2 linked regions of the Drosophila melanogaster genome follow. The protein of the gene in region 2 purifies or fractionates together with the protein of the main gene of each other region. This does not show direct contact. Each region holds a gene or a part of one and is shown on either strand. Other genes may lie near its edges.

Region 1 (5,075 bases), on a different chromosome or scaffold from region 2:
CCTCTTCTAACTTCTGTGGATCACCGTAGTACCTTTCCAACTCAGCGTAGACAAGCTCATGTTGTTGCCTTAATTGGCGGCATTTTTGGGTCTCACGCTCTGGCGAAAAATCCCTTCCCTGTATCGCTGCCCAATTCTTCAAAAGATGGTGTGCCGGCGTGCGACTAACTTCAAACAAGTCGGTTACGTAGTATGATTCTAGGTCATCTATGGGCCCTTCGCTTGGTTCCCGAAGGATGCGAGATTCACCCTCAGCTCTGAGTTCCTTCAATGCTGCGGTGATCACAGTGTATGGTGTCAGACAACAGTCTTCCCCGTTGGGCTCCTTGCCGCGCATTTCTTGGCCAAGCAATGCAGACACTTTCTCCTCGAGCTTCTTCTGTTGCACATCCGGATTTCTTAAAGTTAGGGAAGTAAACCTATTGGCCCACTTGCCACGTCTACCTCCTTTGCTGGCCACCACGGGCAGGACCGCCAGAGATTTATAATCTAAATGGGGATAAAACGTAAGTCCAATCTTACCGTTTACACTTTATAAGATGACTTACCTTCCTTGGCGGCTGTGCGGAAGCCATACTTCTGCAGTTTATGACGTATTCTCTCAGTGGACTTCTCTTCATCATCCAGTAGGTCAACCACCGCATCGTCATCGTCATGCAGACGAAGGCGTCCATGCTTCTCACTCTCCGATTTGGACAGCGCCAGCGCCATTTCAATGTCATCCGCACTAAAGTTGTCCGCCATGCAATGCTGGGCGGTAACCTCCGCGAAGATCTGCTCGTTGCGTAGAAAGTTGCTGATACTGGGCTGTTGTTTGCTCTTTCCGCGTCCACGACGCGCCCCACTCGACGTTGACACAGTGCTGGCCTTGAGCTTGGGTGCCTTTTTGGGCTTGGGCCCAGGTTTTTCGAACACATTGCTGGTGCGTATTGGTTTGATTTTTGGCGCAGGAGGATCGGGCTGAACAGGAATGTCGGCGAGACATGACGGAACTTCTTCAGCATTTTCGGGTGTGGCAAAGAAGTTGGATAACGATAATGTATCTGCGGCTGCTTTGGTGCTTCGCGTCAAACTTCGGATGAAAGGAAAACAAAGTGTTCGGTTAGATAATGACATTCATTTTATTGGCCTTTATTTCAATTAAAATTACCGAGGCTGCAGGTTTTTGAAGTTGGCTCGCCGCGTCTTGCGATCCATTATTTGTTCCTCTGCTCCTCGCTCTCCTTGATGGCGTCCCTGATGAACTGCGAAGTCCTTGGTGCGCCGAACTCAAAGAGTCCTTTCCTATCGCGCTCCTGTTCGGTTTGGGCCACCGCCTGGGACAGCTTCTCGTTGGCAATGCGCTGGATGGGAGTCAGGCTGAAAACGAGGCGGTGGCAAGCATTAAAACCACATTTATACGTTAAGTTCGAAGATCTGCTCACCTCCAAATGCCGAAGAGCACAGTTCCGGCGGCCAAGAGGGCATAGGCAAATCGATTGCGATACGTGTAGGATGGCGTGCCGTAGGTGCGTCTGGGCTTTCGCTTGGTGGTGTCGATGGGATCCATTGCTGCAAGGGCCGCTGAATTATATAATTAAATACATTTTACCCGGTAAAAAGTATGAAAACATGCTTCAACTCGGCGTTGCTGGATTAGGGTTGTCAGGCTATACTAAATTAAATCAAAACAAGATGCAAGAGATTTCTGCGTCGTTGAGCTCTTGTACTTAAATAGTTTCTCAATTAATGATTATCTTGTTTTATTAATATAATCAAGCGTTTTTATTTTTATTTATATAATTCTATTATATAAATAATCATGGCTTACTAAAATTTGCATTTCAATTAGAGTAAACTTTCGATTATAATGGAGAGCAAAACAGGAATACCGTTCATATTTGTGATCGTTATCGCCTGCCAGCTGTTCGAATGCACCTGTAGCTGCGTCGACAACCCTGCTCTACAGCGAGTTGGCAGCCCCGCCATTGTATATGCGTAATTAACGTTAATTAGGCAGAGGAAAGAATTTAGTTTTATTCGATCAGCAATAAAGTGCGGTTGCACACGTCACCGAACATTTGTTGCCCAACACCGCACTGCGAACTTCAGCTGCAAGTGGAGTGGAAAAACTGCTGATAACCAGTGAACCCAGAGACAACTAACTAGCCCACACAGCCAACAACAACAATAGTTGTTAGACAAAGGGTACTAGTACAGTAAACAAAAACAAAAGCAGCGAGATAAGCCAAGACAAAGCAGAAGAGTTCAACTCGCTCACTCGTTCGCAGAAATTGATACAAATATTTTGCAGAAACGGCAAATACGAAAAGAGAAAAACGAAAGCAAAAGAAAAAACAACTGCGGCAGGAAATCAGAAAGCCGATTAATCATATCACATAGTTTTGCATACGCCCATTCTGCGGGATTCGGCTCCACATCCAACTGGTCAGTGCGGATTGTGCCAGCGGTGAGTGGAGATGGCGCGCGAGGACGAGGAACGCATCGTGGACAATGAGGAGGTGTCGCGACCGACGGAGGAGGACCAAGTGGTCAGTCGGGCCGGTCGGCGTGACAATGAACTGAGCCTTCCGTCCGGCGGCTGCTGCATGCCCTCGAGCACGAGCCACCGGTTCATGGCTCTGGTGTTCATGTGCCTGCTGGGATTCGGCTCCTATTTCTGTTACGATGCACCCGGCGCCCTGCAGAACTATTTCAAGAAAGATCTTAATCTGACCTCCGCCCAGTTCACACTCATCTACTCGATTTACTCGTGGCCCAATGTCGTCCTGTGCTTCGTGGGAGGTTTCCTGATCGATCGACTGTTTGGCATTCGACTGGGCACGATTATCTACATGATGATCCTGCTGGTGGGTCAGTTGATCTTTGCCTGCGGCGGCATTCTGGACGCCTTCTGGATGATGATCCTGGGACGGTTTATCTTCGGCATTGGCGCCGAATCACTGGCGGTGGCCCAGAACAGCTATGCGGTGCTCTGGTTTAAGGGCAAGGAACTGAACATGGTATTCGGCCTGCAGCTGTCGGTTGCCCGATTCGGCAGCACCGTCAACTTCTGGGTGATGCAGCCCATCTATGAGTATGTGAGCAATTTTTACAAGGGACATACCGCTCTAGGCGTCGTCTTATTGCTGGCTACCCTCACCTGTGTGATGTCGATGACCTGTGCCCTCATCCTCGGCTGGATGGACAAGAGGGCCGAGCGGATTTTGCAGCGTAACAACAACCCGGCTGGACAGATACCGAAACTCACCGATGTCTTTTCGTTCAAACCACCCTTTTGGATGGTATCCATCATTTGCGTCGCCTACTATGTGGCCATCTTCCCATTCATTGCCCTCGGACAGAATTTCTTTGTTGATCGCTTCGGGCTTTCGCCTGCTGAGGCCAACACCGTGGACTCGCTGGTGTATCTAATTGCAGCCGTATCGTCTCCGGTCTTTGGTTTCATCATCGACAAACTGGGTAGGAATGTGACCTGGGTGTTCACAGCGACACTGACCACCATTGGAGCCCATGCCCTGCTTACGTTCACCCAGCTGACACCCTATGTGGGCATGATCATCATGGGACTGTCGTATTCCATGCTGGCCGCAAGCCTGTGGCCTCTGGTGGCTCTCATCATTCCGGAATACCAATTGGGCACGGCCTACGGCTTCTGCCAATCGATACAGAATCTTGGCTTGGCGGTCATCACTATCGTGGCTGGAATTATCGTGGATCACAGCGGCGGCGAGCACATGTGGCTGCAGTTGTTCTTCATGGGCTGGCTGACCATTGCCCTGATCTCCACCGGCGTCATCTGGGCCTACAACAACAAGAACCGCGGTAATCTCAACATGACACCCCAGCAACGGGCACAGTTCGTCAGCGCCGAGAATTATCAGAACTTTGAATAGAAAGGGGGGGATACAAAGGCGAACGGCGCCCGCAGATCGGATTATTATCGGTTATTTAGTGTAGACATAAAAGTTACTCTCTGCGGGCAATGCGCCTTGGTCCGTTCCACGATGTGATGATGATGTGTGATGTGCGTCTCGAGTCGCAAATTGGTATTTACTAACTGCAATTGTTTGTCATCCGACGATAGGGATATACAATACGCCCTGATCAGCCATGAATCAGTATTGATATGCGATTCGAGCCCGATCAGGCCGGTTTATATGCTATTTTACGCTATGTATTTTTAGATCAATTTATTATTAAAGTTAAAGTTACCGCATGTTTTTGTGTCAACGTTTTACAAATTAAACCAAACATTGAGACCACAATTCCAACTAAATGTTTAATTATCACAAAAAACATTCAAGACTTGTGCGCCTAGAGCAACGAATTGCTATTTAATTGTAAATATGTACTCAAAATTATATCTCATTCATACAACTTGGTCGTTTGTTACTAGCATTCGCACGAGTTCGAAACTGTGTCCTGGTTAAATACAAATTAGTTAAATCTCCGTCATGATAACTATGTTTATACACATGCCTTTCTTCAAATAAAATGAATGTAAATTACGATAAACATCTTTTAACTTTCATTTTGGGTGTTAATGATTTTATTTCGCAAAAAAACGGCGTCCGAACGTTGTATATCATTTCAAAAGTTCCTAGGGCCCAATTAACTAGCTTAAATTAATTTCCATCACCTAAAACATCTTTATGTCCATCCTCCGCTCCAGAACCTCAATGCACTGTTTGCTGTCCATGCTGAGCACATGCAGTTCCCTCAGCGGCTTCGTCTTCTCCTCCACCGATTGATTACCACGCAGCGTTTCCAGCAGCAACAAAGCTGTTCCTCGTGCCGCCGCCAGCAGCTTGCAGGCATCGTGTGTTCTGGCGAATCGAATGGAAATGAAAGGTGTCAGATTTATGTTTATTGTGCACCATAGCAAATGTAGAGATGACTCACCGCTTGAAGAGCAGCTCGGGACGACGTGTATACTGTCCAAAGAGCGCGAATAAATTGCGTGTCATGTCATAATTGAATTGCGCTGCTCCCGCAGCTGAGAACTTCGTGTTCATGACCATGCTCTCGAGCATGAAGTCATCGATTTGATGGGCTATCAAACGGAGCGTTTG
Region 2 (5,046 bases):
CCTTAGTTTGCTATAGCACTCCGGATCATTGTCCGTTTATTCAGAGCGAAGAAAGGGAATACATAAGGTGCAATACTAGCAACTCCTTTTTGTTGACCACTGGCAGAGAAAGAGAGGAGATGGACGGGGAAGATGGATATGAAGGTGAGGATAGGGAGCACCGCAGAGAAGTGGAAGCAACGTGCAACACTGCACCTTGGCGGAGCATGCTTAACAGCACGCCACTCTGGGCCCTGGTTTCCACCTCCATGCAGCAGGAATTCCAACAGAAATTGCCCCAGGAGCTGCAAATTGCGCTAGAGGAAGTAAGAGCCCGTGGCACCAGTTTCTCAGAACTAACCACCATCATCGAAACGATAGCACCGTCCGTTGGAAACTGGATAGCTTCACTGACAACAGGGCGGCTGAGCGACGTGCTAATCGAGCAGCAGATTCTCACGCGCACTCAGACACGCCGCCTCATGTCCTGGTTGGTCTTCCTATGCGGATCCATGTACATGCTACAGATCAAGATGAGCGGAGCACGAATCTGGAGCGTTCTTGGCATGGGAGCCTACTATGCGAGCATTAAGCTGCTACCGCTGGATATGAGTCCCAACTATGCTGGCACTTTGATGGGCATTTCGGGCGGCATGGGCGCGCTTCCAGCACTTCTGATGCCCTATCTGGAACAACTGGAGACCGACTACAAGCTGGTGAGCAGTGTGAGGGCCGCCATGTGGGTAATCGGCGCCAGCTACATATCCGGCGATGTCCAGGCGTTTAACCAACCGGAACGGGAGCCACAATGAGGAGACTTGCTTGTTTTAAGTTTAATCTTACGCTTAAACATAAGCTACTGGATTTGTCTTAGTGGATTCCTTAGGCAACAGATTCTAGTTTACATATGTACCATAATACATGACAATTTCTATGCTAAAGCTAGGAGCATAAACGTAAACAAGCTTTATATATATATATATAAATAACAGGTATGGTCGATATTAACTTAATTAGAGTAGGACTGCTGGCTAAATGCTCCGCGCTGGCTCTTATTTTCTCGGGATATCAATCCCAACACACACCGGTTTCATACTCTATGCAACGCCCTGGGCCATCAATCCGGATTGGGCCATTGCCGACACTGAGTTCATGTCGATACCCAGCTTTTTGGTGACGTTGATTTGGGCCACTGCCGCGTTGCGCAGCGAGTAAACGTGCACCAACTCCGCCTGACTCTTGGCATAAAGCAGTGCCTTTTCAAAAAGCTCGACGGCCCGTGTGAGTTGCGCCCGCTGAACTTCGACTGTTCCGAGTGTCTCGTAGGCCAGCTCGCATTTGGGATCTACTTCGATCGCCTTGTTGAGCAGCTGGACAGCCAAATTAATGTCTCCGCGCCACTGAAGCACCATGATGGCCTGGTGAACGATAAGTGCAGGATTTGTTGGCGCCAATACCATGGCCTTTTTGTAGTATTCCTCCGCCTGGGTAAACTGTTGCTGGTCGGCCAACACCTGAGCCGTTAGACTATAGCACTCAACGCAGCTCGGGAAACGCTCGATGGCATTTTGGAAGGTGTGCATTACGCTCTCCAAGCGCCGCTGGTCGCCGGCCAGGAGGGATAGTCGGTACTCGGCATAGCACTTCTGGACGAAGGCGATGGCGTGGTTGGGTGCAATGCTCACCGCCTTTTCGAACTCGGCCAAGGCGGGCTCTATCTGCTCCAGCAGCAGAAGTATCTGGGCGCGCTGGTGGTACACATCTGGGTTCTCTGGGTTCAGGCGTTCCGCCTCAGCAAAATCGGCTATACCCTTTTCGCGCTGATCCAGCTGGATGTAGAGAGCTGCCCGCTTTATGTAGGCATACGCACGCAAGTTGGGATCAGCATAGTCTGTAGTGAAATAAAGTTAATAGAATAGAAATCAAAAAACAACTGAAGAAAACCGACTAATTAATGAATTAAACTTAAACAAATTCTTACCATTAGCTATAATAGCATCAAAGTCCTGCTGGCTTTCTACATAGGAGCCGCACAGCAGATGGAAAGTTCCCCGCATAAGCAGAGCCTCCACTTTGTACTGTGCTTCGGCCTCGGAGGATTCGATCTCTTCGGTGCAGGCGGGAATAATTTCCTCGTACTTCTCCTCGAGGAAAGCGAGGTGGGCGCGCAGGAAACCCTTTGGGGGTGCATCGGATTTAGGGGCTGGGACTTTCATGGTCTGCAGCGGATCCGCGATGAAGGAACGCGTGTAGGTGTTTACGAAGCAAGCCGACGGCACGACTGGCACCCGATTGCGCATACCCTTCTCGGCGTCCAGTCGGCCGGTCTCCTTGAGCACACGGTCAGCGAACATGATAGTTTGATTATTTTGGAACATCTCCAGGATACAGGTGGCTGTGACATCGTCCAAGCACTCGTTCATATCCTTGGTGGCTTCGTGAGCACGGGCACGACGATAATATGCCTTGGCGTAACGAGGATTGAACTCCAGCGAGGCTGTGCAGTCCTCCTTGACGTTGGACCACTTCTTGAGCATCTCGTAAGAGGCGGCGCGGTTCTGGTAGAAGATGGCCATGTCAGTGCGGTGCTCCTTGGGACACTTGTCGATGGCCTTGTCATAGAATTTAATGGCCTCATCGTACTTCCCATTCCTGTAGCAGTTGTTACCCTCCGTCTTGTAGTTGTTGGCCTCCTTAAGAGGCGACAGCTTCTCGCCCAGCTCAGCGGACTTTTGATTGCGCTCTAGCTCCTGGTCCGGTGCGGTGCCGTCCAGGGAGATGGCCTGCTTCTCGATCTTGGCCTTTGGTCTCTTCTTCTCCCCGTCCAACTCCTTGGACGCAGCCGTCCAGCTCTTCACCGCATAGGTGCCCAGTCCAATGGCCAGGGGAGTTCCAAGGATGAGCGCCAGCTGCCACTTTGTCAGCTTCATCGAGCCAATGTTCAGAGTCATCGCCATTGAGCCGGTCTTTTTATGGATGTGTGTTATGTGTGATGAACTGCAAGAAAAGAGCTGAATCAGTTTGGGTGCCGCCACAAATTGTGTAATACTCCGCTGGCTTATCGCTCAGCGCCTTTTGAGCTTGCTAAATGCCGGGCGGGGGGCACGTTTCTGCAGTACCTAACCCCCAACCCAATTGATTTTTCACACCCCCAACTGGCCGGGATGTGAATCAGTGCAGTCAGCGAACGGAACTTACACTTTTTTAAAACTTTACACTGCTGTGAATTTGGCAATTGTTAAACGTCGATTGTTCTATTTTCAGTTAGAACTCGGGAAACTTAGATTCTATTGTATATCAGCCTGCTGAGCACACGACATCGAAAAACGATAGACATCGATAGGTATGGAGTAATAACGGCACTGCGAATGCTTATTATGGAAGAAGAAGATCAGTGAGAGAATAAATTGTGTGAATAGTTTAAAAAAAAACTAAGGAGTTCGAATATGATGTATTTGTAATAAAGCCTGAATTTATACTTTACGAATACTGTACGAATAAATATTTTAGATCTCTATATTACATTCTATCAGACCGAAACAGAGTTCTTAAATTTTAAAATCGGTTTCATCCACTTTACAAATTGAAATACAAATGCATTGTAATATTACAATCAATGTATTTATAGGAATTCACTAGAATACACGGACAGCCTATGGGTGATTCTCCTCATCTGTGCTGGAAGTTGGAGCTGGAGCAGGAGCAGAAGCGGAACTGGTAGTCGACTTATCGGTTTCCGTAACCAAGATCTTGTCCAGATTCTCCAGTTTAACTAGGCCCTGGGAATCGGCGTTGTGGATGAGATCACATATTGTGGGCGACTCCACGACCAGGATATACTGGCACGTCTTCGGCTCAAGCAGGTACATGGATACAGCGGTGCCGCTGTTCGTTACAGGTGTGCAGGTTAACTTCACGTCCACTTCGCGGGGCACTCCAATCTGTTCGCAGTGGGTTCCCTTGCCATAATGGTGCCAGATGGATGTCGTGAAGCCGGAACGGCGTGCACCCTTGTCCGGGTTGGCGTTGGACCAAGCACGATGCGCTTCCTCTGAGAAGTAGCCAAGAAAGAGCTCCACTTCGCTGGTCTTATCTTTGTGGAACTGACGCACATGTCGGCCATAGCAGAACTCGTACTTCCACCAGCCATTGCCCTAAAAAAAAGAGTATTATTGAAGCAAATGCATGGGTCAGCTGCATGTTATTCCTACCCCAGTTAGGCAGTTCTTGCCCGATATAAAGTCCTTAAGGGGCGTCAGATCAGTGATGGGTGTTGGTCCAGTTTCAGAGGCTGCTATAGACAGCAGGAGCTGCTGAAAGTCTCCGTCTACCTTCAGGTCACCATTCCTGAAATGCTCGAGCAGGACTTTTTCCATATCACCGCCATAGTTAAGGGTGACCAAATCGCCATCCGTCTTGGGCCACAGATTTTCCGTAGCCTTTTCCTTGAAAACCAGCAGATCCGCCTCGGATTCAACCCATTCCTTTAGCTCCGACCGCAGCATGCTCAGCGGTCTGTGCGGTTTCGATTCGGAGTTGAAACATTGTATGGATAGTTCCTTGGTCTCTTCGGCATGAAGGGCGCGAATTGGGCACAGCGCCGAGGAAAGTATAATGGCCTCATAATTGCACGAGGATGTCTCCTTGAAGGAGTAGATATCGTTCTTACCATGGGGATAGCACACATAACGCACCATTGTGGTGCGAGGAGCGTTAATTATGTCGCACATAGTGCCATCGCTGTATTCCATCTCAAAGTATGGATACCGAGTGTTGTCGATCTTCAGGCTTTTGTATTTCGGCTTAACGCCCGCCTTGATGTCTGCTTGCCAGGCTTTTGTCAGTATTTCCATCTTTTCATCGGTCCATTTGCCCAGGTAGTACTCCTGGAACTTGACGTTCTTTCCTTCGCGCTCCTCGTGATACTGACGCACATGGTGGCCATGGCAGATTTCGTACGACCAGTAGGCCTCGATGCGGTACGTGCAAGTCAGGGCGGAGAAAATGGGCTGCAGCAGAGTAATTGGAGCTGCGGAATTCGGAAATTATGTATAATCCAATGGGATG

What was found.
Region 1: the proteins of Tom70 (region 2) and mrva purify together in Drosophila melanogaster (affinity purification with mass spectrometry, with the first as the bait; one large-scale study listed by BioGRID). This does not show direct contact.

Annotation. Positions count from the first base shown.
Region 1 is NT_037436.4:7,325,713-7,330,787, reverse strand, and holds mrva (minerva), read left to right. Parts: upstream 1-1,945; 5' UTR 1,946-2,459; coding exon 2,460-3,896; 3' UTR 3,897-4,515; downstream 4,516-5,075. Other genes in the region: mus312 (mutagen-sensitive 312), read right to left, coding at 1-489, 549-1,072, 1,151-1,197; CG42307 (uncharacterized protein), read right to left, coding at 1,197-1,359, 1,425-1,549; Rint1 (RAD50 interactor 1), read right to left, coding at 4,643-4,829, 4,906-5,075.
Region 2 is NT_033779.5:12,035,195-12,040,240, forward strand, and holds Tom70 (translocase of outer membrane 70), read right to left. Parts: upstream 3,318-5,046; 5' UTR 3,099-3,317; exon of another isoform or gene 2,977-3,098; 5' UTR 2,937-2,976; coding exon 1,961-2,936; intron 1,871-1,960; coding exon 1,077-1,870; 3' UTR 809-1,076; downstream 1-808. Other genes in the region: CG18788 (uncharacterized protein), read left to right, coding at 1-791; CG6766 (uncharacterized protein), read right to left, coding at 3,633-4,133, 4,191-5,008.